3 linked regions of the Tamandua tetradactyla genome follow. The protein of the gene in region 3 purifies or fractionates together with the protein of the main gene of each other region. This does not show direct contact. Links are inferred from orthologs where the notes say so. Each region holds a gene or a part of one and is shown on either strand. Other genes may lie near its edges.

Region 1 (6,952 bases), on a different chromosome or scaffold from region 3:
TGCTCTCTCATCCAAGGGAGACAATGGCTGACTCTCCATCTTGGGCTCATCCTGGGTGTGCCCCTGAGAGAGATTTGGGGCTTCAGAAATGATCATACGCTCAGGGCTCCCTGGGCTTTCCCAGAGATTAAGGGCCCTCACAGTGCTTGGGCACTCCCAGGCACTCAGAGCCCAGGATGTGCCCGGCCCTTCCCAGCCACTCAGGATCCTGGAGGTACTTGGGCCCTCCCAGCCATTCAGGCCACGGGAATTGCATGGGGCTTCCCAGTCACCTAGGACATGGGTGGGGTTTCGACCCTCCCAGTCACTCAAGTTTAGATTTTCCCAGGGCCTCGGGGCCTGCCAATCATGCAGGGCCAACAACTGGCCCCTGCTGTCCTTTCCCCCATCCAGATGCTTCTTCTTCCGTGTGACTTTGCCAGGGCGACGCTCCTCGGTGGTCTTCGAGATCCCCTCAGTGGTGGCCGTTGCCTGGGGGGCAGCTGCTGTAGCCATCAGGATGGTGGATGCTGCCTTTGATGCCTGTGAGGCATGGGAGGTGGGCTGTGGATCCCAGCAGACCGCAGGCAGGGCCTCAGCGCAGGCAAATGGATCCTGCAGAGCAAGTGGCAGTGACTTCGGCGTCTTTGAGGTGGCAGACGGACCCTTAAAGGCATTAGACGAGGCAAGCTGGACCTGGGAGGTAGCGGGAAAGACCCTTGAGGTGGCAGTAAAAGTCTCCGATGTGACAGGCAAGTTTTTCCAGGCAGTTGGCAGGTGTGCCCGGGTAGCAGACGCTACCCGTGGAGCACAAAAAGTGGCAGCAAAGATCATGCGGTCCTTAGAAGGAGCCTTGCGCTCCTTGGAAGAGGTCCTGCGTTCCTTTGAGGAACCCCTACGTTCTATCGAAGAGGCCCTGGATTCACCTGATGGGGGAGTCATCAGTGATTTAGCGGAACCCACGTGAAAATTTGCCGCCGCTAGGGAAGCTGCGGGCTGGGCCTGGAGGGCCCCGTGTGGGGCTTGCCAGGAGGGCTGGAGCTGCAACGCGGGCAGCTCCGCTTGCGGGACCGAGGGCTGGGCCTGCTGGGCGGGTAGCTGGATTTGCAGGGCCTTCTGGGAAGGCGGGGCCCCCTGAAAGGGCGGCTCCAGTTGGACCAGCGGAGGGCCCTGTCGCTGGGCCTCCTGCGCGGGTAGGGGTTGCCAGTAGTGCCCTGGACCCTTCGGGACCTGCCAGGCGAGGGCTTGGGCCTGCTGCGCCTCCTGGAACTCCATCGACGTCGGCAGCTCGTGCGGCACCGGGGCTTGGCCTTTGGGGGCCTGCCAGATGATGGGCGGGCAGTGTGCGGCCTGCGGGGCCCGCGGCGGGACCTGGGGCGTCTGCGGACCCGCGGGAGCCCTCGCGGACACCTGTGCTGCCGGAGGGACCGCCTGCACCTGCGGGACCGCCTGCACCTGCGGGACCGCCTGCACCTGCGGGGCCGACTGCACCTGCGGGGCCGACTGCACCTGCGGCGTGGGCAGCCGAGCCTGCGGCGCCTGGCGCAGGGGCGGCGGGGGCGGCAGGGCCTGCCAGAGCGGCGGCGGGGTGGCCAGGACCTGCGGGGCTGGCCGGATAGGCGGCGGCGCCTGGCGGATCAGCGGCGGGGCCTGGCGGATCGGAGGCGGGGCCTGGCGCACCGGCGGCGGGCCAGGTCGGATGGGCGGCGGGCCGGGTCGGATGGGCGGCGGACCCTGGCGTACGGGCGGCGGGGCCTGCCAGGCGATTGTCGGGCCCTGCCAGGTGACCTGTGTGGCCTGCCATGCCAGAGGCGTGGCTTGCCAGCCTTGTGGTGGGGCCTGCCACCCCGGCGAGGTGGCCTGCCAGCCTGGTGGTGTGGCCAGCTGCGCCTGCGGGGCCTGCGGACCCTGGGGAACCTGCGGAGGAGCCCTTATAACCTGAGACTGGATTTGCAGGATCAGAGGCTGAGCCTGTGGAGCCCAGGATGCCAGAGGCTGCGCAGGTGGGGCCGCCGGCTGTGCCATCGGGGCTCCCGAAGCTGAAGCTTGGGTGATCGGTGCTCTCGAACCTGGAGGATGGATCATTAGCACGCCGGGACCTGGAGGCTTGGCCATCGGGGCTACCGGAGGAGGCGGCTGGGCCATCAGGGCTCCCGGAGGAGGAGGAGGCTGGACCATCAGTACTCCCGGCGTCAAAGGCTGTGCCATCAGGACTCCAGGAGCTGGAGGCTGGGCCATCGGTGTCCCCGAAGGGGGAGGATGGGCCATCGGTGTCCCCGGAGGGGGAGGGTGAGCCATCGGTGTCCCCGGAGGGGGAGGATGGGCCATCGGTGTCCCCGGAGGGGGAGGATGGGCCATCGGGGTCCCCGGAGGGGGAGGGTGCACCATTGGGGTCCCCGGAGGGGGTGGGTGTACCATTGGGGTCCCTGGAGGGGGAGGGTGGGCCATTGGAGTCCCCGGAGGAGGAGGATGGGCCATGGGGGTTCCCGCAGCCGAAGGATGGACCATCAGTACTCCCGGAGCAGGAGGCTGAGCCATCGGGGCTCCAGGAGGAGGAGGATGGACCATCAGGACTCCGGGAGTCGGAGGCTTGCCCATCGGGCCTCCCAGAGGTGGACCCTGGACCATTGGGCCCCCTAGGTTCGGAGGCTGGGCCAGTGCAGCCACTGGGGCAGGCGGTTGCCCCTGCGGGCCCTCCCAGGCAGGCTGAGGTGCCTGCCAAGCGGCCAGTGAAGCCTGCAAGTCAATCGGAGGTGGATCCCAAGGGACTGGTGGAGCCCGAGAAGAGGCGGGCGGGGCCCGCATCAGAACCGTAGGGCGGCTATAGACCGGAGGCTTGGGGGCCTCCGCCGGGGGACTCGAATCACCCAGATTCTTACTTAGCTGCGACATGTCCCTTTGCTCTGACAGCTGGTGGGCCTTTTCCTCCGACAGCTGCTGGGCCTTTTCCTCCAGAGAGAAGAGAATGCCTACGTGGCTGCTCAGAGGCTCCCTCCCCGCTGAATGCTGAATAGGAAGTGAGTGCTGCTAGCTCTGCAGCTTTCCGCAGTAAGGAGGAGGGGTGAAGGGGGCTCAATCCCGCCCCCTTCCCCGCCCCCGACCACCACAAGTGGATAGAGCATAGGGGCGTCTACCAGAAGTCCTGGCTGACACAAGATCCCTTCTCACTCTGTCCAGTCCCCAAATGCAGCCTGCTCAGACTCTTCATGCATGGGTTTTCACAAGGGAGTGACAGGAACAGATATAGGTTTTGGAAGAATCACTGTTGTGCATTATGGAGGGGAGACAGACCACCGGCATGTAAGGCATCCAGAAGGGAAAGATGGTGTGGTCTGAGCTCAGATAGGAGTTGGAGGATGAAAGAAGTGTGTGTATGTAGGAGAGATTTAGGAGGTGTAATACATAGCTATTACAATTTGACTTAAGAGTAAAAGAGATGGAGAAGGCACACATATTTCTGTCCTGGGGAAGTGGAAGTTGTTGGTGCCATTTCCTCTCTTAGGGACACAGTGGGAGGCACATGAAGAGATGATGAATAGTTTTGATTCGGACGTAGGGCATTTGCTGTGCAGTGGGACTGCCAAGGAGAGATGCCCTGTAGACACTCTCCTGTAACAGCTTGGGGTTCAGAAGACGTCCGAAGTAGAAGTCAAGGTCCAGTACTCATTATGAGATTAAAGCTGTGGGGGAAAAAAAAAATGTGTTTACCGAAGAGTATTGAGTGAAAGGTACAGGACACCAAGGAGCTCCTGAAAGTATCTTTACGAATACAAGCCTTTTAGAGACATTCAGAGAAAAAAGGATCACAAGGAGTAGAGAGTGAAAAAAAGAAATCCCAGAAAGTAAGACATGCCAGAAATCAATGGAAGAGAGCATTTTACTATGAGGAAAACTTCCTTTGGGATGGCTGAAATGAGGGAATAGAGTTTTGTTTTGTTTTGTCCATCAGTTGCAGAGAAGGAAAGAAATTGTGATAAGGAAAACAAAAAATGTACTAGAAAATAATAAAATGGGTGAAAAATAATCCAAGATCGCTATATAGGAAAAACAGATGAACAAAATACAAAATTTCTGGGAAATCTACTGATGAAAAAATAAGTTTAAAAATAGGACAGATGATGCCCCAGAACATATCAAGATTATTTGATAGCCCTATTCTGTTTTAGGCTGAAAAGAAGAGACAGTCAGTTTATTCGGGCAACTTTCTGGAAATACACCACATATCAAGGATGTTTGATTTCGAAGAGGCTGTTCACAGCCTAGGGGAAGATTCCAGTGATAAAAAGCATGGAAGATGCCACAAGGGGGCAGAAAAGGATGATGAAGGCCATTTGCCGATCCTCCTAAGGAATCTTCCTTAACCAGTGTTCCTCAAATCTGGGGTAATTTACATACCCCCAGAGAAGGCATTTAAATACTATCAAGGTTCTATATTGCCTTAATTGAGAGAAGAAAAGGTGTGGGGGGAGGGATTCTGGTGACTTTTGGGGTATTGAAGGAATGAGAATCCAGGGTTGTTATCCCCTAGGAACATTTTTTTTCTCCAAGACACACAGCTCATTCTGGGTGTCTGGTGATATGTCACTGCTGTGTATATCCAGAGAAGGCCATTCACTACTTGGACGCATGGTCTGGCATGCAGAAAGCTAATTCTACTGAGTGGAGGCTGCTATGTTTGCAGTTCCTAGGTCTCTCCCTTGTGCTAACATGACACAGTCATATAGGACTTCACCATTTCATGGGGTTTAGAAATACTTCAGAAGGGACAACTTACACACATAACCCTTATGTTCCCCTACGCCAACTCTGCCACGTGAAAGTTTCTGACTGTGGATGGCTTCTGGAAGTCAACCCATTTTGCAGCCTATGATATTTGTACTCTCGTTAAATGTACCGTTTCTTCCTCTAATTCAAAAGTATAAACTCATCAAAGATTGAGTTATTCCAGTAATTCCGTCCTTTTCAGGATTATGAAAGTATTGCCTCTCAGACACCCATGCTGTGGGTCATTCCGCACAATAAATGTTGCCTTTAGGGCTTGGTTCTCCTCACTGATTTTGGAGCTGAATGCTGCATTAAGCAGCCAAAAAGTTAGTAACTGGCATCGTGAAGGGGGAAAAACCGTGTAGGCATCATTACAGATGGAAGGTAATCAAGTCATCCAACAGCCCCTTTGCAACTCCTTGGTAACATTCTTTAAATAGGAGAGAAAATTTGGGACATAAGATCCAGTGATTCTGTTCAAAACAGTAAAAGAGGTAAATTGAGTTTATGTTCCCCCTGGTAAACATATCTGCCTATTTTGAGAAACAGTTTGCTAAAATGATTGTCTCAATCTAGTGACCCAAAATATATCTACCCTGAACATAAAATATACCTGAGGAACTAAGGGAAATATAGCTCCTCTGTGAAAACTGATTGCCCTAATAGCAGCAAAATCCAAATCTGCCTTGGGACCAGTGGGGAATTTAGACCACAACCATAAATAGGTTTCCAAAAATTCCCTTCTTGTTGTGGTGTCTTCTGGCTTACTAAAGCCTCCTCAGTACATCTCAACCAGGTGTCAAATTTTCTTTTACTTGCTTCTCCATGAAACAGCTTGAAAACTCAAGGTGACAAGAAGAAGATCACAAATTCAAAACATCCACTGAATATTGGTCTAGTTAGAAAAGATTTGCAGGTCTTTCATAAATATATAATGAAAGGTTAAAATAAGTCATTGATAATATTGGGGGAAGGGAACCTAAGGATAAAAAATTTTTGTCCCAAGTTTATATAGAATCTGTATACTTTTTGTTCCGGCTTGCCGCAACAAGACAACTACTATAGAAGCTGGGCTTATTTGTTTATTCTTGTATCCCAGCTCATTTGAGCAGTCAGTAAGGATACGCTGAATGAAAGTGTAACATTAGCGCCGGAAGTGCATATTTTTTTCTCTGCTTTAGCTGTTAAACTTGGTGTTATTTCCAGATAAATAATCAGTTAGCATTTTCACAAACTCCAGGATCATTTATGAAACACACTTTATTAAGCCTTCACCATGTAGCCAGTTCTATGCTATGTGCAGAGCTACAGAGAAAAATGTGTCACAGAGTCTCATACTCATTTAGGGATATTTATATGCTTTAGTGCAGTAAAATATTGTTGCAATACTAAAAATTCATATTGGTCATAGATGATGCAAACAACTGAGTACTCACTTCTTCTTGAAGTGTGGGGGATTGGGATGCTGGCTGTGGCAAAGAAAATGAAAACAAATGAATCAGAAGCTGTGAAATATTCATGGTTGTTCTCCAAATAGACAAGTTGGAAAGGCAGGAAGATCATTAAAAGAAAAAAGCATAGGTCATATCAAGAGTACAGACATTCAAAAGAAGATTTGTAAGGAGCTCACTAAAATAGTATAGCTATTCTTTATTGAATGCTTACTATGTGATAAAATCCTACCCTAAGAGCTTTGTATATTATGTTTATTGATTCTTCACAAAAACCACATGAGTTTGAGCCCATTTTATACATGAGGAGATTGAACCTCAAGAGGTTAAGATCTGGCAATATACAGCAACCTTTATTGGAAGTCTGGTCTATTTTTCCCAAAACCAGCATTATTAACAATTATACCAATACCGCTTAAACCTATTTTTATTTTAAGAATAATTAACACCAGTAAAATGCACAGATCTCAACTGTTCTGTTTGTTTAGCTTTGTGACCCCACGAGCCTATACCAAAACAAGATAAAGAATATTTACTTTATCAAAGAATCTTCCATCATGCCCTTTTCCAGTTAATTCCTCTGCTTCCCAAAGGCTAACATTCTGATTTCTCTTGCCATGATTAATTTTGCCATTTCTTAAAGTTCATATAAATGGAATAAGTACTGTGCATATTATTTATATACTTGGCTTCTGTTTCGGTTTGCTAAAGCTGTTGAAGTGTAATATACCGGAAATGGGTAGACTTTTACATGGGGA
Region 2 (7,783 bases), on a different chromosome or scaffold from region 3:
TTAGACACAGATAGGCTACATTAATTTATAATTTATAGATGTAAAGGATCTGATTGACAAACATCGGGTTTGATAAAGCAAGCTTTTACATACAAAGTGGCTGAACATTTTGAAGAGCTGGAGACTAATTCCTTCAAGTTTATAAATCTGCTGTATAAGTAAGTAAAATCCTAAGTATTCTGTGTTCTAACACCTTTGTGGTGAGCATATTTAGCTTGCTGTCTTGACATCAGAATCAGTACAATGTAGCCATTAGAGAAGAGCTGCAAGTCAAAATTTTTCATTTGACTGTATTCAGTTTTACTGATACATAAAAGAAAATAATGATGTCCTAAAGGCTCTGAGCAGTTCAGAGAAGTATTAATGGAAAAGAAAACAGAAAGAGCAAAAATATCCCACTGCCTCATGGGATAGAAACATGCCATTGTTATTTTTTATTAAATATAGGTAATATCTGTTAAATTAGCTCTATTATATTTACACTCTTTTTAAAAGTATTACACTTATATATATTAAGAATACATAATAATATACCTACAAAATTTAAATAAGCAATAAAGAATTAAATTGCTATACAATAGGACAAACTATAAAAATTGTTATATTTTTGTCACATATATTATTTACTTAATTAGCCCTTCTAGTTACTACATTTAACTAGTCCTATTGCTATTTTTTAAATAGCATTCATATAGCAAAGTAGCACATAATTTAAAGGAAGCAACTATTTTTCATGTTTTTATGTTATAGTAATAACACAAATGTATTATTTATTCTGCCATCAGATTGGCAAAAATAAAAATAGACATTTGCTAGTGTCAGCAAGAATGTGTAGAAAAGACAATCATAGACAATCATATATTGCTTGTGGGAGTATAAATTGGTACAACCACACTGTGAAATAATCCAGCAATACCTAATGCATTTGTTTTCTACTGCTGTGTATCAAACTGCCACAAATTTAGTGGCTTAAACACATTTATTATTTCACAGTTTTTGTATATCAGAAGTCCATATGCAGCTTAGCTGAGTCCTCTGCTGAGGGTCCCTCAAGGTTGCAGTCAAAGTGATGGCTTGATTGTGTTTTCATCTGAAGGCTTGACCAGTGAAGAATCTGCTTTCAAGCGCTCAGGTTGTTTGCGGAACTCATTTCCTTGTGGTTGTATGAATGAGGTCTCCAGCTTCTTACTGGTTGCCAGCTGGAGGCTTCCCTGAGGACCCAGTGACCTGGGTCCCTGCTATGTGGTCTTCTCCATGGCAGTGCAGATTGTTTCTTTAAGGCCAGCAGGAAAGTCTCAAGCAATCTGCTAAGGCAAAGTGTTACACAGTGAAATGTAATCACAGGAGTGACATCCCATCATCTTTGTCTGGTTCTCACTCAAAACCTGAGGATTATAAAAGGCAACACCAGGAGCTGGAGTAATTGGGGACCACCTCAGAATTCTGTATAACACATCTAATAAAGTTAAAGACGTAATATTCTAGGATCTGGTACTTTCCTTGTACATAAGTAGGGATGTATAAGAATGTTCATAGCAGCATTATTTGTAATAGCAAAAGTGTTCTATAATTTTTCAGTTTCTCAAAATGCAAAAAGATATAGTACAAGAGATAGTAGTTTATGTAAGACCATATATGTATGATACTTTTGTAAAATTAAAATATATATAGAAATTCTTCTAGCAATAGCATACTGTTGTTTTGGACCAACACTGAGAATAACTGGACACAATATAAAAACATTAAGGTTTGTAAGGAAACAGGGGTCTAGATTGTAAGCTCTTATAGAAGTTACATTTAGTCTAGAGTGGTAATTACTATTTCTGGATTTTGAGAAGCTGTTTTATATATGTATAACCTGGTATTTAGAGATTAGAATGAAGCCGATCAGGTCAGGATTAAGGTAATTCAGAATACAGGGGTAAGGAAGACATTGTCTATACTTTAGAACCTCATCTACTCTTTGAGACCAAACGAAGAAAGGTTTATTTTGTCCAGAACCTAAATTTTCCGAAGCACATAATCTAACTCAACCTGTCTGGATAGATCATTTAAACAATCCAACAGAGGGAGCCCAGGATAAGAATGAGGGCCTTTAATCCTGTATAGCTTAATGTAATGCCTGGATACATCCCAGAGTATATTAAGCAGATGATCAAAAGTATTGGCAAAGTCCCCTGAGGGATGAGAGAAAAAATATGAAACTATTAAACTTTACCACCAGGAAAACCCCTGATACTGTGTCAAACAGTAGGGACACCCAAATCAATAGGCCAAGCCCTTGATCTTGAGGCTTGCTCTTGTGAAACTTATGTATGTAGTGGAGAAACTTAACCTATCTATAGGTATGCCTAAGAGTCACCTCCAAAGGTGTTTTGTTGCTTAGATGTGACCTTTCTCTCTCTAAGCCTAACTCTGCAAGTGAAATCATTGATCCCCCACCCTGCCCCCAAGTGGGACATGACATCCAGGGGTGAAAGTCTTCCTGCCAGCATGAGTCTGGCCGTGGTATTGTGGGATCAACAATGCCATCCTGACCAAAAAAGGGAAAAGAAGTGGAACAAATAAGGTATGAGTGGCTGAGAGAGTTCAAATAGTGACCTACTTCTGGAGGCCACTCTTATGCAAACTTCAGTTTAGACATTGCTGCCTACCATACCTTGCCAACCCCCAACCCAAAACATTCCAGCAATCCTAAAGAATACCTAGGGCATTATATAAGATTCTACAAAGCTTCCAAGCACTAGGGTAACTTTCCAGAAACCTACAACTTCCAGATAGGTCCCTGGACAAGATAAGTCCTGATATGCAGAGGGGCCAGCATCTCCAGAACATCAACTAGTTCCATCCCCCATCCCATATTATTGACAGCCCCTTCCAACATGAAAAAGTTAGAATGGGCATAGCCCAAATATCCCTAAGGAGTGGGAGATAGGTCAAAGGTGATGATGGAGTTATACAGAGGTCAGGTTTAACCAATGAGTATGATTGCTGAATTAAAATATTGTTATTTCTTTTAGTCTCCAGTATCTTAGAGCAGCTAGCAGTAAAAACCTAAAATTGCGATATTGTAACCCATACCACACTCTGAAATTTGTTCTACGACTAACTGTTGCAACGTACTTTGAAATTTATTGCTTTTTTGTTTATATGTTATTTTTCACAAAAAAAAAAAAAAAAAAGAAAGAAAAGGGGGTGGTTTCTTCTAGCTTCCAGTGTTTTGGAGCTGCTAGAAGGAAAAATCTGAAATAGTGGAATGGTAAACCATAACAAACACTGAAATTTGTTCTGTAACTACTTGTTGAAGCGTACTTTGAAAATCATTGCTTTTCTTTCGTTTGTATGCATGTTATATTAAAAAAAAAGTTTAAAAGAAAAAACATAAAGGCACTGAAAAGCTACTAATGTAAAAAATTGTGGGTCCAAAATCTGAAGTAAAGGGAAGTCATGAGAGGTGTGTCTGACATTTGCCACCTCTTTTCCACTTGATGTGCCTACTAATTTTGAAAGAAGTGACCAAAAAACTGAGTTTTGAGCTGTTTTAAAGAGGTGGGTATGTGGGGCCAAGGAGAGGCCCTGGTAATACCCCAGACGTTTGGTTGCAACACTTGGGAGCTATACCATAGCTGGGTGTAAGAGCGAACTGGAAATGAACTAGCCTTCACAAAGACTGAAGTCCACCTTTGAACAATCCAAGTATCTGACTGGAATAAGGTGATCTGCTCTTACCCTAGTTTGAGCAGGCATACAAATCCCTAAGTGTCTCCCATAGAACACGTTGTCTTGCCCCAGCTCCCTTGTTCAAACTTCAGTTCTTATCTACGTAAATATATTGTCAGTGGGAAGGCTCACGTGGCAGAGACAGATCCGGGAGATACGGACGTTGTCCTGGACATACGAACCGCAGATAGTGCAGGTTTCCCCAGTGCCCACCCTCTACCACTTATAAGTGTGCTAACCTACACCATCCATCTCTTTTCCTTAGTTTCTCGGCGTTTCCATAAAATTGATTTGATAAACCACGTCATCTGTGAGACTTTCTATTTCGTACCTCTGCTGAGGTGGCTTCATTTTTTCTTTTGGAGCCACTGCTTCCCCACATTTAACTAATAATTATTTGCCTCAAATTATCGCTTGAGAGTACTTAGTGAGAGTAAAACCAGTGTTTTGTTTCACTTAGTTTCTTAATTTAAAAAACAAATCATTTATTCATACATTATCAGGTAAAGAGGATGGAAGAGAATTAAAAATGGAATCCACAATTCCTGCAAACGTGCAGCAAGCGAACGCCTTCTTAGACGTGAGGCCACTCACTTTTAATATTTTTAAAATACTCCCCCGTGCTTCAATCATTCCATCATTCGTACAGTAAACATGTATTAGGTATCTACCATGTTGGAGGCTAGATATAAAGGAGTGAGTGGGGCTCTATCCGCCCTTCGAAGAGCTTAGTGAAGACAGGTTTGTAAACATGATTTTGCAATTCCGCGTAAGAAGTACCGTCTCACTGTCACTCTTCTACGATTCTCCAACCTTTTCCATTGACTACAAACCTCGTCCTCAGCGAGATCCTTCCCGGACCCCCAACTCCGTACTGATTCGGGACTAATGGCGTGGTGGGTCAAGTAAGATCTTAGGCAGACTACATCTCCCGGCAGCCTCTGCAGCGGTGGAAGTGGTGGGACCCGCGCAGGCGCGTGGGCTGGTCCCTTCACGCAAGCGCGCTGCGAACGCCGGCTGATCAGGGTCTTGCTCCTCGGTGCGCGGCGGCGGAGAGAGAGGCCTGGTGAGCACCGCTGAGGCGCGAGACCAGCTCCTCAGGGTTGCGCAGGAGAGGCACGGCCGGCGAGCGTGCGGCTCCACCACTGGCACCGGGATCGGTTGCCTTGAGCCTGGTGAGTGCGGGGACCCTGTAGTCCCGGCCCCTCCCCCTCCCGCAGGCGAACCCGGGCAGTTCTCGTAGGGACCCGGGTGAGGCCCGGGGACGAGGTCGGGCGCCGGCTGGGTCTCGAGCTCGGGTCTCTGAGGCCGGGCACTCCTGGCGTGTCCGTGCGTCACGAGCCCGGCTGTCCTAACGGCCGCGCGGCCGGCTGAGGGGAGGGTGGGGGTGGGGAGTGCTAGTGTGATCGCCGTCAGGAGCGCCGGTCGAGGCGGGGCGGCGCGGCCGCGGAGCTGGAAGCGGCACGGGGACTGCGGGGCGCAGAGTCAGCGGGGCGGGGAGTAGGCGCGCGCGGAGCTTGCGCCGCGGCTGGGCGCGAGCCGGCGAGGGGCGGGGGTGGGCGCCGCAGAGTACTGTGACAGAGGCAGGAAAGTGTCGGGGTGGCGTGTAAAAATCCTCACCGAGACAGGAAGGGACCATCTTGGGAATTCACAAGTTATAGCCGGAGCCGGAGGTTGGGGTGGGGTGAGCGGGACTGCAGTTTACAAATGTCATAACAACATGGGCCTGAAGCGGCTGACAGGGGTGTGGTAATTATAGGAATTACAGAACTTCGTGTGTTCATATCGTATGTAAGTGGTGAAACGGGGGAAACAGCGAAGTATAAGATTAAGCTCAGAATGTGAGGAGAAAACTGAGGGACGAGTGGAGTCGGGGAAGTTGTCATGTCACGAAGGAACGACTTAGGGTGGAGTGAATGTACTTAATGTTCCACTTATAAAGGAAAGGGTAAGGCTTAAACTTAGAAGCAATTGCAAAATATTTTTCTAAAAGTGTTAAATTGTATTAATAGCTTTTCATCCTTTAAAAAAAAAATTGACGGTTCCCCCAACCCCCTATTTCTTAGCAGTAGTTGTTTCAAGATTAATTCTTTACATTGTTCTTGCTTTTGTAATATTTTGAAAATAACCAGAAGTTGTTCCACCCTCCTCCCATTTTAAAGATTAAAGAGATAAAATTTTGTTTTTTTTTGTTTTCTTTCCCAGAGAAAAGTGCGAATGTGCTGTATTGGGCTTTTATTGAAAAAAAATTATTCTTGGAAGGTACTGATGATTTTAAGATGGAGGTCTTGAGAGAAAGTACAGGAATTAATATTTATTGAGCTTTTTTTTTTACATCTTTTATTTACATATTTAATGCTTATAATACCTTACATATTTTATTTACGTATTTAATGCTTGTAATAACTCTGAAATAGATGATATACTAACTTTTCCTATTTTACAGATGAAAACATTGTATGTCAGAGAAATTAACTTACTTAAGGTCAACCAGCTTTTGTTGGAACCAGTTTTACCACCCCAAATCACTGCCATTTTAAGACCTACCCCTCTGCTTACATACTTCTTGGTTGTGTTTTCTTTTTTTAATCCATTCAGCAAATACTATGGAGTGATTCTTTGCTCGGAGCTGGGGATATAGTCCTGATCAAGACATATTGTCCCTGTCCTCATTGCATTTACAGTGTAGCAGGGAAGACTAGCAATACAAATAATATCTGCATGACATATTATTAAATGGAAGCAGACAACATAAGCCTTGAGAAGCTTAGAGTCCAGCAGGGAAACAAAATATTACATTTGTAGAAACCTAGAATAAACCCAATGACAGAAATAAACCCATCACTTGAAATCATTATACTTTTTGCATTATGTTACTTTAGCTTCTTGTCAACATTTCTTCACAGAACTATTAATATTTTGCACCTTGATTTTTACCTAGGATTGGGTATATAAGAAGGGACAACACGGAAAAAATCTTGTTCCATTGCTGTCCAAGATACTGTTTCTAATTTACTTCTTATAAAATAGGGACCTTAGAGACAACATCTAAAGAGTGTAGTGCTAGGACTTTTTCTTTGTTTTAAGCAAATAACTGCTTTTTATTAGAGCATGATTGTTTTGTAAGTCATCCTGCTTCTTTTTATACTTTGGCTTTCAGGAGGCTCATCAGAGCTAACTTGTGTTCAGTTTTTGTAATTTTCCTTAGCCTCAACTATATTATAACTTACTTTATGCTAAATAGTCTAGAATTGTGCTCAGTTGTTTTGTTCTTTGTTCTCTTTTGCTCTTCCATATTTTATCTTTTCCCTTTCATTTCAAGATAAGAATTATCTTTTTGTCTCCAGCATTTTAGCAGTGTTGAATTAATGAAAAAATAAAGTCTTGATCATTTTTTGTGATGTCTCTGCCTTTGTAAGTCCATCAATTTTTTTTAAAAGAATATAAATACTGTGCAGTTATGACTTTTGGTTGGTCATGCAAATAAAGATTATTTAGTGAATTTAAAAATCTCTTGTAAAGAGAAAAAACCAAACAAACTAAAAAAATCTCATTTTCCTTTTTATTTTGTTGTAAGAGCTTTCTGTACTTTTTAGGGTATTATGAATTCAGCCATAAAAATGGAGAAAACATTGGAAAAGGTAAACAGTTAAATTAGCTGATTTGGGGCGATTTCACTCTTGTCTTGCTGCAGTGAGTAGGAGGTTGTCCTAAGTCATCTGGGTGGGAGTGGGGGCAGGATGGGGGTCAGAAAAAGCCTGCAATAGAAAATTTTGAGGTCAGTGAAAAAGCCTGGATAAAGTCTGATGGGATATACAGTTGTTGTTATTTCTAAGATAGTACAACCCTAGAAAACAAACCTAAGTGAAAAAATAGTTCTATTGTTGTAGACTAACTGGGACAGTTCTTGAAAGCAGCCAGTAATCCAGCATGTGGATGACGGGGATTATCTTCACATAACAAGAATAATGCTGCCCTTCGTGTACAAGAATAAGTCTGCTTATTCATCACATAAGATTCTAGTCTAAAAGTTATTTTTATTCAAAGTTTTGAAGTTATAGCA
Region 3 (7,487 bases):
CTGTACGTCCTGTAAAGCCTAAAGTACTTCCTCTCTGGCCTTTTACAGAAAGTTTGCTGACAGCTGGTTGAAACACCCCTTCTCAGGAGATGTGCTCCCATCCACTCTCCCTCTCAGTCACTCACTGCAACTCGGTGATGCACACACGCCCTCATTTATAAATCCTTTCCACAAGCTCACTCCTCTCCTCAGCTGGAAAGTCATTCAAAGACATAAACTATAAAATATAATCTCAGCAACAGAAAATTAAAATAGACACTAAAGATCAACTCAATGGTGCTTCTTGAAGGAGGGCCCATTGGAACCGTGGTAGGGACAATTCTGCCTGGCACAGGACACCGTCACTCCTTGCCCCCTTCCGAGATGCTGTGACAGCCACAGAAATGCTCACGGGCTTGGGGGGGAGGGCTGGGCACCACTGGCCGTGATTACAAACCATCAGTGGGTCCAGCCTACACGCTCCACAGATCAGCAAACTGAGGCCCTGGCAGGTTATGGCTCTGCCCATGACGCAAGGGGTGGGAGGAGTGCCAGGGGGCAGACCTGGACGCCAAGCCTGTGCTCCACGACCTGCGCCCAGGTACACTGGGCTGCTCATTCCGACAGAGTCCATCCAGGCCCACTGAGAAGGTTCTCCACCCATCAGGCCTATTTTCAAGCCAGGGGAGCTGAGGTCTCAATGCGCGGTGCCAGCACAGCAAGGGGGAAAAATTCCTGCCAACAAACTTAATACTGCAGGAAGATGATGACAAAATTCCTATTGATGGGAGAAGATGACAAAATTATTCACAAGTGGGACTATCCACTACTAGTCCAAGAGTTTACTTTTCAGGTGCAAATATCTCTACTAGGAGGGGATTTGTAATATTTTTATTTATTTTTAAACAAAACAGCAGTTATTTTTTTCCCCTCAATTTTCAAAACAAAACCCACAAATACCCCAATCAGGAACTAGCATATCAGCCACTGGGCAAGCCCTGGGAGCAAGGAGAGAAGGCAACAGAGAGCAAAGCTCAGGGCTGAGGAGCTGTGAAGGCAGCAGCTCAGAGAAAAATCACCCATGTGGCCCTCTGCAGAAGCCAGCAGCTGACACCTACAGCAGGTCAACTCTCCAGACCCTGGCTCCAGAATCTTTTCCCCAAATGCGGGAAAGGATCTGGTTTTCCTTTGGGTGTGCAGGGGAGTTCCCAGCTGCCCTGGGGGTTGTCCTGACCTGCATCTAACAACTCTCAACACCCTGGCGGGGAGAGCAGTGGGCAGCAGAAGCAGTGTCAGCTGCGCGCTGGAGCAGCACTCACCAAGAGTTCCGCTCGCGCCTGCTCCCCTTGTGCCCTCCGCCTCTTCTTCAGGTCTTTCACTCTTTTTAGGTGATCCAGTTGGTTCTGGATTTGTTCCTGAGAAAAGCATGACAGTTGGGCAGTACAAGATGAGGCAGTGCTTTACCTCCGCGCCGCTGCTCTGTCACAGATGGACCCCACACTCCTGGTGCTGGGCCTGCCTTTGGACAACATGGCCACCCTCAGTGCAGGGCGCAGGGGCCAGCGCCACCACGCTGCTCCTTGGTCACTTTGTGTCTCACACAGTGGGTCTCCCCCTGCCTCAAGAACACTGCATGGTCTCTGGAAATGCAGCTAGACTAAGGAGTCAAGGCGTAACTTCCACAGGTGAGAAGGTGCAGCAGGGGTGAATTCACCTTCCCACCTACTCAAGGGTTCTGAGCCCAAGTGAATTAATTTAGGTGAAAACACCATAGACGTTAAGTGACTGATCATGCATGAAGTGACAGACTCACATTTTAAAATGCATAATTGCAAGTGTGTTGCTGCATCCCTCATATGTAGAGAAGACGCCACAGCAGCCTGCAGTCCTTGAATGCTACCTTACCACCGTTTGAAGTGTAACGCTTCGTTTCCTTGTTAAGGTTTAGCTGTGTGAGTCTGTTGGCTCAACAGTTGGCAAAGGCCACCCCCACCCCCACCCCCACCCCCACCCCCACCATTTCACTTAATCTTCATGAAAATTGTGCTGTTATTCTCCACGAGTCTCAGAAATGTTAAATGACCTGCTCGAGCAGTCAGGAGCCGTGTTCCTTTCGGTGGAGAGGAAATGCTGACAGAGCTCGGTGTGTGCGCAGCCAGCCAGCGTCTGCGTGGATTTCGCGGAAATCACCCGGGAGGGCAGGGTGCGCGGGGCGGGGGCCGGGGGCGCGCGGATGCGCGGGCCGGGGGGCGCGGGCGCACGCACACCTGGCACTGCCAGGGTGGGGCCCGCGCGGCTGTCTTTGTGCGGACGGTCTCCCCCAAGCCTTCCATGCAGGCCACGGGGGAAGGGGCGGGCTGGGGGGCCTCTGGCTCCCTCGCAGCCACAGGTTTTCCTCCTAAAGCCGGGCGCGGAGGCTCAGAGCGGACAGGGAGGAAATGACGGCTGGGAAGCACGCGTCCGGCTCGGCCATTTTCTGGGCGGAATGAAAGGGAAGCCCCCGGGCGCCCGCGTCCCTTTGTCCAGCCAGGTCCCGAGCCCCCCGCCGGCGCGCTGGGCGCTCACCTTGAAGCCGTCCACCGCCTCCTCGAGCGGCAGCACGCTGTGGCCGCGGTGCTCGCGCGAGCGGTCGCACACCACGCAGATGGGTGTCTGGTCCTGCTCGCAGTACAGTTTCAGCGGCTCGCGGTGCTTCTCGCACCCGCCCATCTCGCCGCCGGGCCCCGACGGCCGCTCGGAGCGCAACTGCCGCACCAGCTGGGTCACGTTGGCCAGGTGCCGGTTGGGCCGCATGTGCCGCTGCGGGAAGGTCTCCCGGCACTGCGGACACGACACATTGGTCTCGGCGGCGCCCCAGCAGCGCGCGAGGCACGCGCAACAGATGTTGTGGCCGCAGTCGAGCATCATGGGCTCGGCGAAGTACTGCAGGCACACGGGGCAGGTGGTCTCCTGCTGCAGGCACTCGGCCACGCTCCCGGAGGCCATGGCGCGCGCCCGCGGGGGCGCCCGGGCATGGGCCCCGCGCTGAGGGCTGCGCTCCCGCGGGCTGGCGGCGCGGGGGCAGCCGAGGGGCCCCGGACGGGCGGCGCCCGCGCGCTGAGGCCTGGACGGCCGGGCCGCTCCGTGCCGCCGCCCCGCCGAGTGGGCCCCACTGGCCTTGGCGGCGCCGCGCGGGCTCGCGGGGGGGTTGGGGGGACGGAGCGGGCCGGGCGACGCGCGCCGAGCGCGCAGGACAACGTGGCCGCGTCCGAGCGGATCCCGGGCCGCCGAGACCCCGCCCGGCGCCGGCGGAAGGGGCGGCTCGGGGGCGGGGCCTGGCCGCGGCCTGCGGCGGGCGCGCGGCCCCGCCAGCCTCGGTTCCGGCCCGTCGTCCCCCGCCCGGCCCGCCGACTGTTACGGCCCCGCTGCCGCGGAGGCCCGGAGCTGCGGCCCGGGCGGGGCTGGCGCGGCAGGGAGCGGCCCCTGCGCAGGCCCTGGCCCTCTCGGCGCGGCGGCGGCCTGCCCGGCCCGGGGGCTGCCCGCCTTTGTGCCCCTTCGCCGCCCGCGCAGGGACGCCGCCTTTGTGTCGGGGGCGCTGCCTGCGGGCCCCCTTCGGCACGCGACGTGGTGCACCCTGTGGAAACACCCCATTCACATTCGGAGGCCCTTGCGACTTTGTTAGAAAAAAGGAAAGTCTATCGTAAGGTATGTCTGCTAAGAAACAAATTAAGCTGAAAGGCAGTAGAGGCTTTTACTTGGGGTTGCAGTTCAGGGAGCCCAGGATCAAGTTTCCACCCAGATCGTGTCCCGTCTTGGCCTAAGGAAGAGAAGAGAAGGCGAGCTGCACGTGGGGCGTTTGGGGCGCTCTTCCCTGCCTCCCTTGGGGCCTCCCTTAGCCGGCCTTGGGGCTTGTTTGCGGTGCCTGCACGGCCTCGAGTTCGCAGACATTGCTGCTCGTGGCGCTGCGCCTTGGGCAGTTTGTGGGTCTGGGTGAGACCTGCAGAGGGGCAACCTGGCTCCGTTTTCAACGTCTTTACCGCAGGAAGCTTTATTTTGTTTTTTTCTCTCCGGCGAGCATTTCCGAAGGGCAGAGACGAGTCACACAAGCCCAGCTCTCCTTCCCTTCTGTGCCCAAGCAAGTCTGTTTGCCCTTCAGATCCCGAGTTCCCTCTGGTGAGATGGGCATGACGAGTACGCTGGCGAGAGGGGAGACTTCATTATACCTCTTTTTTCTTTTGATAACCGTAGGATATTTATCCACTGAAATAGAGTGGTTGTGTTGAGTAGGGCGGAAAAAGTGTCTGCTCCTTACCAAAGCCCGGGACACGGGGAAGCCTGCGGCAGCCCACCCTGGAGTAGCTCACGGCCCTGGAGTAACTCACGGTTCTGAAGTAGCTCACGGTTCTGAAGTAGCTCACCGCCCTGGAGTAGCTCACCATCCATTCTCTTTCCATCAGCCAGTGGACTTAGAGTTATGTTGTGTTACCCTCTCATCCCTGCCTTGTATTTCCTAATTTTCTTTGGAATTTTCTCAGTATTGGCAGACTGTACATAAGCAAGAGGGGCGTCTGCTTCCCCCTTTGCTTTCCAGGATTCTGCCCTGGCCTCCCCTGGTGGGCAGGAGGTCTGCCGAGCTAAGTGAACTTGCCAAACCCAAGTTCACCCCCCACCCCCAAACCACACTCTGACTACAGAACTCTAGTTCCTGGCCCAAATAACCCCAACCCAATTCCAGAAAAATATGGGGTGCTTGGACTAGCCCACATCACAGAGTCTCAGATTCTGGTCTTTCTTTGAAATTGGGTCAAAAATTGACATTTGGAGGAACTGAAGGATGCTTCTCGGGTTTACTCACAAAGGAGTAATAAACATTGTGACTCAATGTACAAATATGAGAGATGGAGATAAGTAGCTGAGGCTGCCCACCATCTCCTTATCTCAGGGATGCCTCGCTGCTGTTTTTGTTTTCCAGAATTTCCAGTGTAACTCCTTAAAATCCCCAGCAGTGGGTGATGGTGAGAAAAGATGGAATAAAATCCTTGAGGAGCTGGGGTGGGGTCAGAGAAGAGGGAAAGGGAAGAGTTCCACTTGGTAATCCCTGTCAGCTCCATTGTTTCTTGAATGCGCAGAACGCCAGGATGCCTGAAAAGTGGCCACCAGGCCTCGGCCACACCTGAGTCAACTTTGTCTCTTTTAGGACAGTGCAGTTTGGACGTTGGGCCAGGCTCCAAGGAGCCCTGGAAGGTTGGCATGTGCACACACACGTGAAGTGTGTTGGGTGGGGCTAGGGCGGGGCTGGCGAATTCAACTCACTGCTCGGGTCCCTGCCTCGGGCAGGTGAGGACACTTGAGAAAGGGCTGTGCCCCGTCTTCCTGAAAGGCATTCCTAACACATTGAATGTGCTTAAATGCTTAGATGAAGGAACAGTGAACAGTCAAAATAATGAGACTAGCCATTAATTTAATGCTTCCACTATCATACTTTTGGCATACATCTCATCGTTGTGAACGTTATTTGTTCAGTTATGAAGTGACAGGTGCAAACTCAAACGCGCTTTGGAAGTAAGAAGATAACTTAAATGAGCAGGTCAGGTCGGGGACAAAATAGGGAAAGCTGGGGACATTGTCTAAATGGAGGACAGCGGTCCCTGGGAATGTAGCCCTGTCCCTTGCCAGTTACGGCCACCGAGGATGCCGTCCAGCATACTGCTAAATGTTTAGTTTTTTTCCCAAGAGAAAGCAGAAATCTAGACTTTCATGTGAAATTTACAGACTTAAGTGTTTGGCAACTTACTAAAAATTTAAAAATCATGCCTGCAAGGTGAAATTGGCCTCCTGGCCTCCAGTGTGGGGCTTCTGGTACAGCTCTTTATTTAAAAAGTGTTTTTCAATCTTGACACAAAATGAACGGGACAGTTGATGACTATTCAATAGCTAATTTCCACTCCTTCCTTAATTTTTCTTTCTCTGTATAGCCATATGCCCAGTTAAAAGATATTTTTCTCTTACTGCTAGTAACATGGTAAATTCATGAAGTCAATGCTACAGTATAAAATCCTGTGCAGATAATTTGCCAGAGGGCACCGTCAGCTCACCCAGCACTTCCTTCCCGCTTTAACGCCATCCTGAGCCTGTGGGTGACTAGGGGACCTAAGTGGAAGTTGTGTGGGAATTCTGAGAAAGCACCTTAAAAGGAAGCCTACTCAGCTGGGAAGTATGCCTTTTTAATGCCCACTCCCTTCCTACTTCTTCCAGCCTGAAATGTGACATGATGGTAGGAGCTACAATAGCCATTTTGGACCATGAGGCAACCTTGAAGATGGAAGCCAGTGCTGAGATAGTGCAGCACAAGTGGAATGAACTTACATTCTTATTGTCTGTAGAGTGCCTGCATCCAAACTTCATGTGCATAAGACAAAATAAAGCAAAACACTTGCTTGTCTTGTTTAAGCTGCTTATTTAGATATACAATGAAATATACATATACAATGAAAGCTAAACCTGAAAAAATAAAATATTATTTTATTAATAAAATATTTTGTTTAAAAATGAGTATGAAATTCCTACCTGCTATCTCTGCTCAACCTACCCACCCCAAGGGTGTCAGTGATTTCTGTTAGTATTGGCCAAATCCAGGAGACATTTCTCAGGCTTCAGCTTTTCCTTGCTTCATTCTCTGATTGATAAGGAGAGATGGCTGAGGGTGTGGGAGTGGTAAAAAGTAACAATGGTGGAATTTCTCAGGGGAGAATAGGAATCAATTCTGCTTGGGAGGGAGGAGTTGGTGTACCTTAGGTATCTTTTGAATTTTAAACCATATGCATGCATGCCTTAGCTATTCAAAATGAATTAAGTTAGAAAAGTAAGGTAAACAAATGAGCTCTCCAGTATTTGAAGCACTCCTGATTTTTGCTCAGGGAAATAGATATTCTATTTTAAATTTCAAACCTTAAAGTTTAGTATAAAGAAAAGTTTTATTTCCTCAAGGAACTTTAATGGTTTTGATTGAGTAAAGAAATGGCCTTTTTTTTTAAAGAGCGAGACAAAGATTAATATCTTTATAAAGAGTTTTATAAATCAATATGGAAGCTCATTAATATTCCAATATAAAAATGAGCAAAGGATAAATGGACAACTCACAAAAGATAAAATACACTGTTCTACTTTGCTAGCTGCCGGAATGCAACACACCAGAGACAGATTGGCTTTTAATAAAGGGATTTATTTTGTTAGTTCTTCAGAGGAAAGGCAGCTAACTTTCCACTGAGGTTCTTTCTTAGGTGGGAAGGCACAGGATGGTCTCTGCTGGCCTTCTCTCCAGGCCTCCGGGTTCCAACAACTTTCCCCTGGGTGATTCCTTTCGGCATCTCCAAAGGCCTGGGCTGAGAGTGCTGAGATGAGGTATGCTGAGCTGCTTGGGCTGTGCTAGTTGAGCTCTCTCATTTAAGCACCAACCAATTAAATCAAACATTCATTGCAGCAGGCATGCCTTCTAGCGGACTGCAGATGTAATCAGCAACAGATGAGGT

The links.
Region 1: the proteins of TRIM27 (region 3) and MAGEL2 purify together in Homo sapiens (affinity purification with western blotting; 3 studies listed by BioGRID and IntAct, with this or other methods). This does not show direct contact. The link is inferred for Tamandua tetradactyla from reciprocal best matches to the Homo sapiens genes TRIM27 and MAGEL2.
Region 2: the proteins of TRIM27 (region 3) and KPNA1 purify together in Homo sapiens (co-immunoprecipitation; 3 studies listed by BioGRID and IntAct, with this or other methods). This does not show direct contact. The link is inferred for Tamandua tetradactyla from reciprocal best matches to the Homo sapiens genes TRIM27 and KPNA1.

The regions. Positions count from the first base shown.
Region 1 is NC_135338.1:79,415,962-79,422,913, reverse strand, and holds the start of MAGEL2 (MAGE-like protein 2), read right to left. Parts: upstream 3,042-6,952; 5' UTR 2,872-3,041; coding exon 1-2,871. UniProt on the Homo sapiens protein: Probably enhances ubiquitin ligase activity of RING-type zinc finger-containing E3 ubiquitin-protein ligases, possibly through recruitment and/or stabilization of the Ubl-conjugating enzyme (E2) at the E3:substrate complex.
Region 2 is NC_135336.1:22,987,038-22,994,820, forward strand, and holds the start of KPNA1 (importin subunit alpha-5), read left to right. Parts: upstream 1-4,707; 5' UTR 4,708-4,895; intron 4,896-7,783. UniProt on the Homo sapiens protein: Functions in nuclear protein import as an adapter protein for nuclear receptor KPNB1. Binds specifically and directly to substrates containing either a simple or bipartite NLS motif.
Region 3 is NC_135331.1:193,511,176-193,518,662, reverse strand, and holds the start of TRIM27 (zinc finger protein RFP), read right to left. Parts: upstream 3,004-7,487; 5' UTR 2,965-3,003; coding exon 2,545-2,964; intron 1,395-2,544; coding exon 1,299-1,394; intron 1-1,298. UniProt on the Homo sapiens protein: E3 ubiquitin-protein ligase that mediates ubiquitination of various substrates and thereby plays a role in diffent processes including proliferation, innate immunity, apoptosis, immune response or autophagy.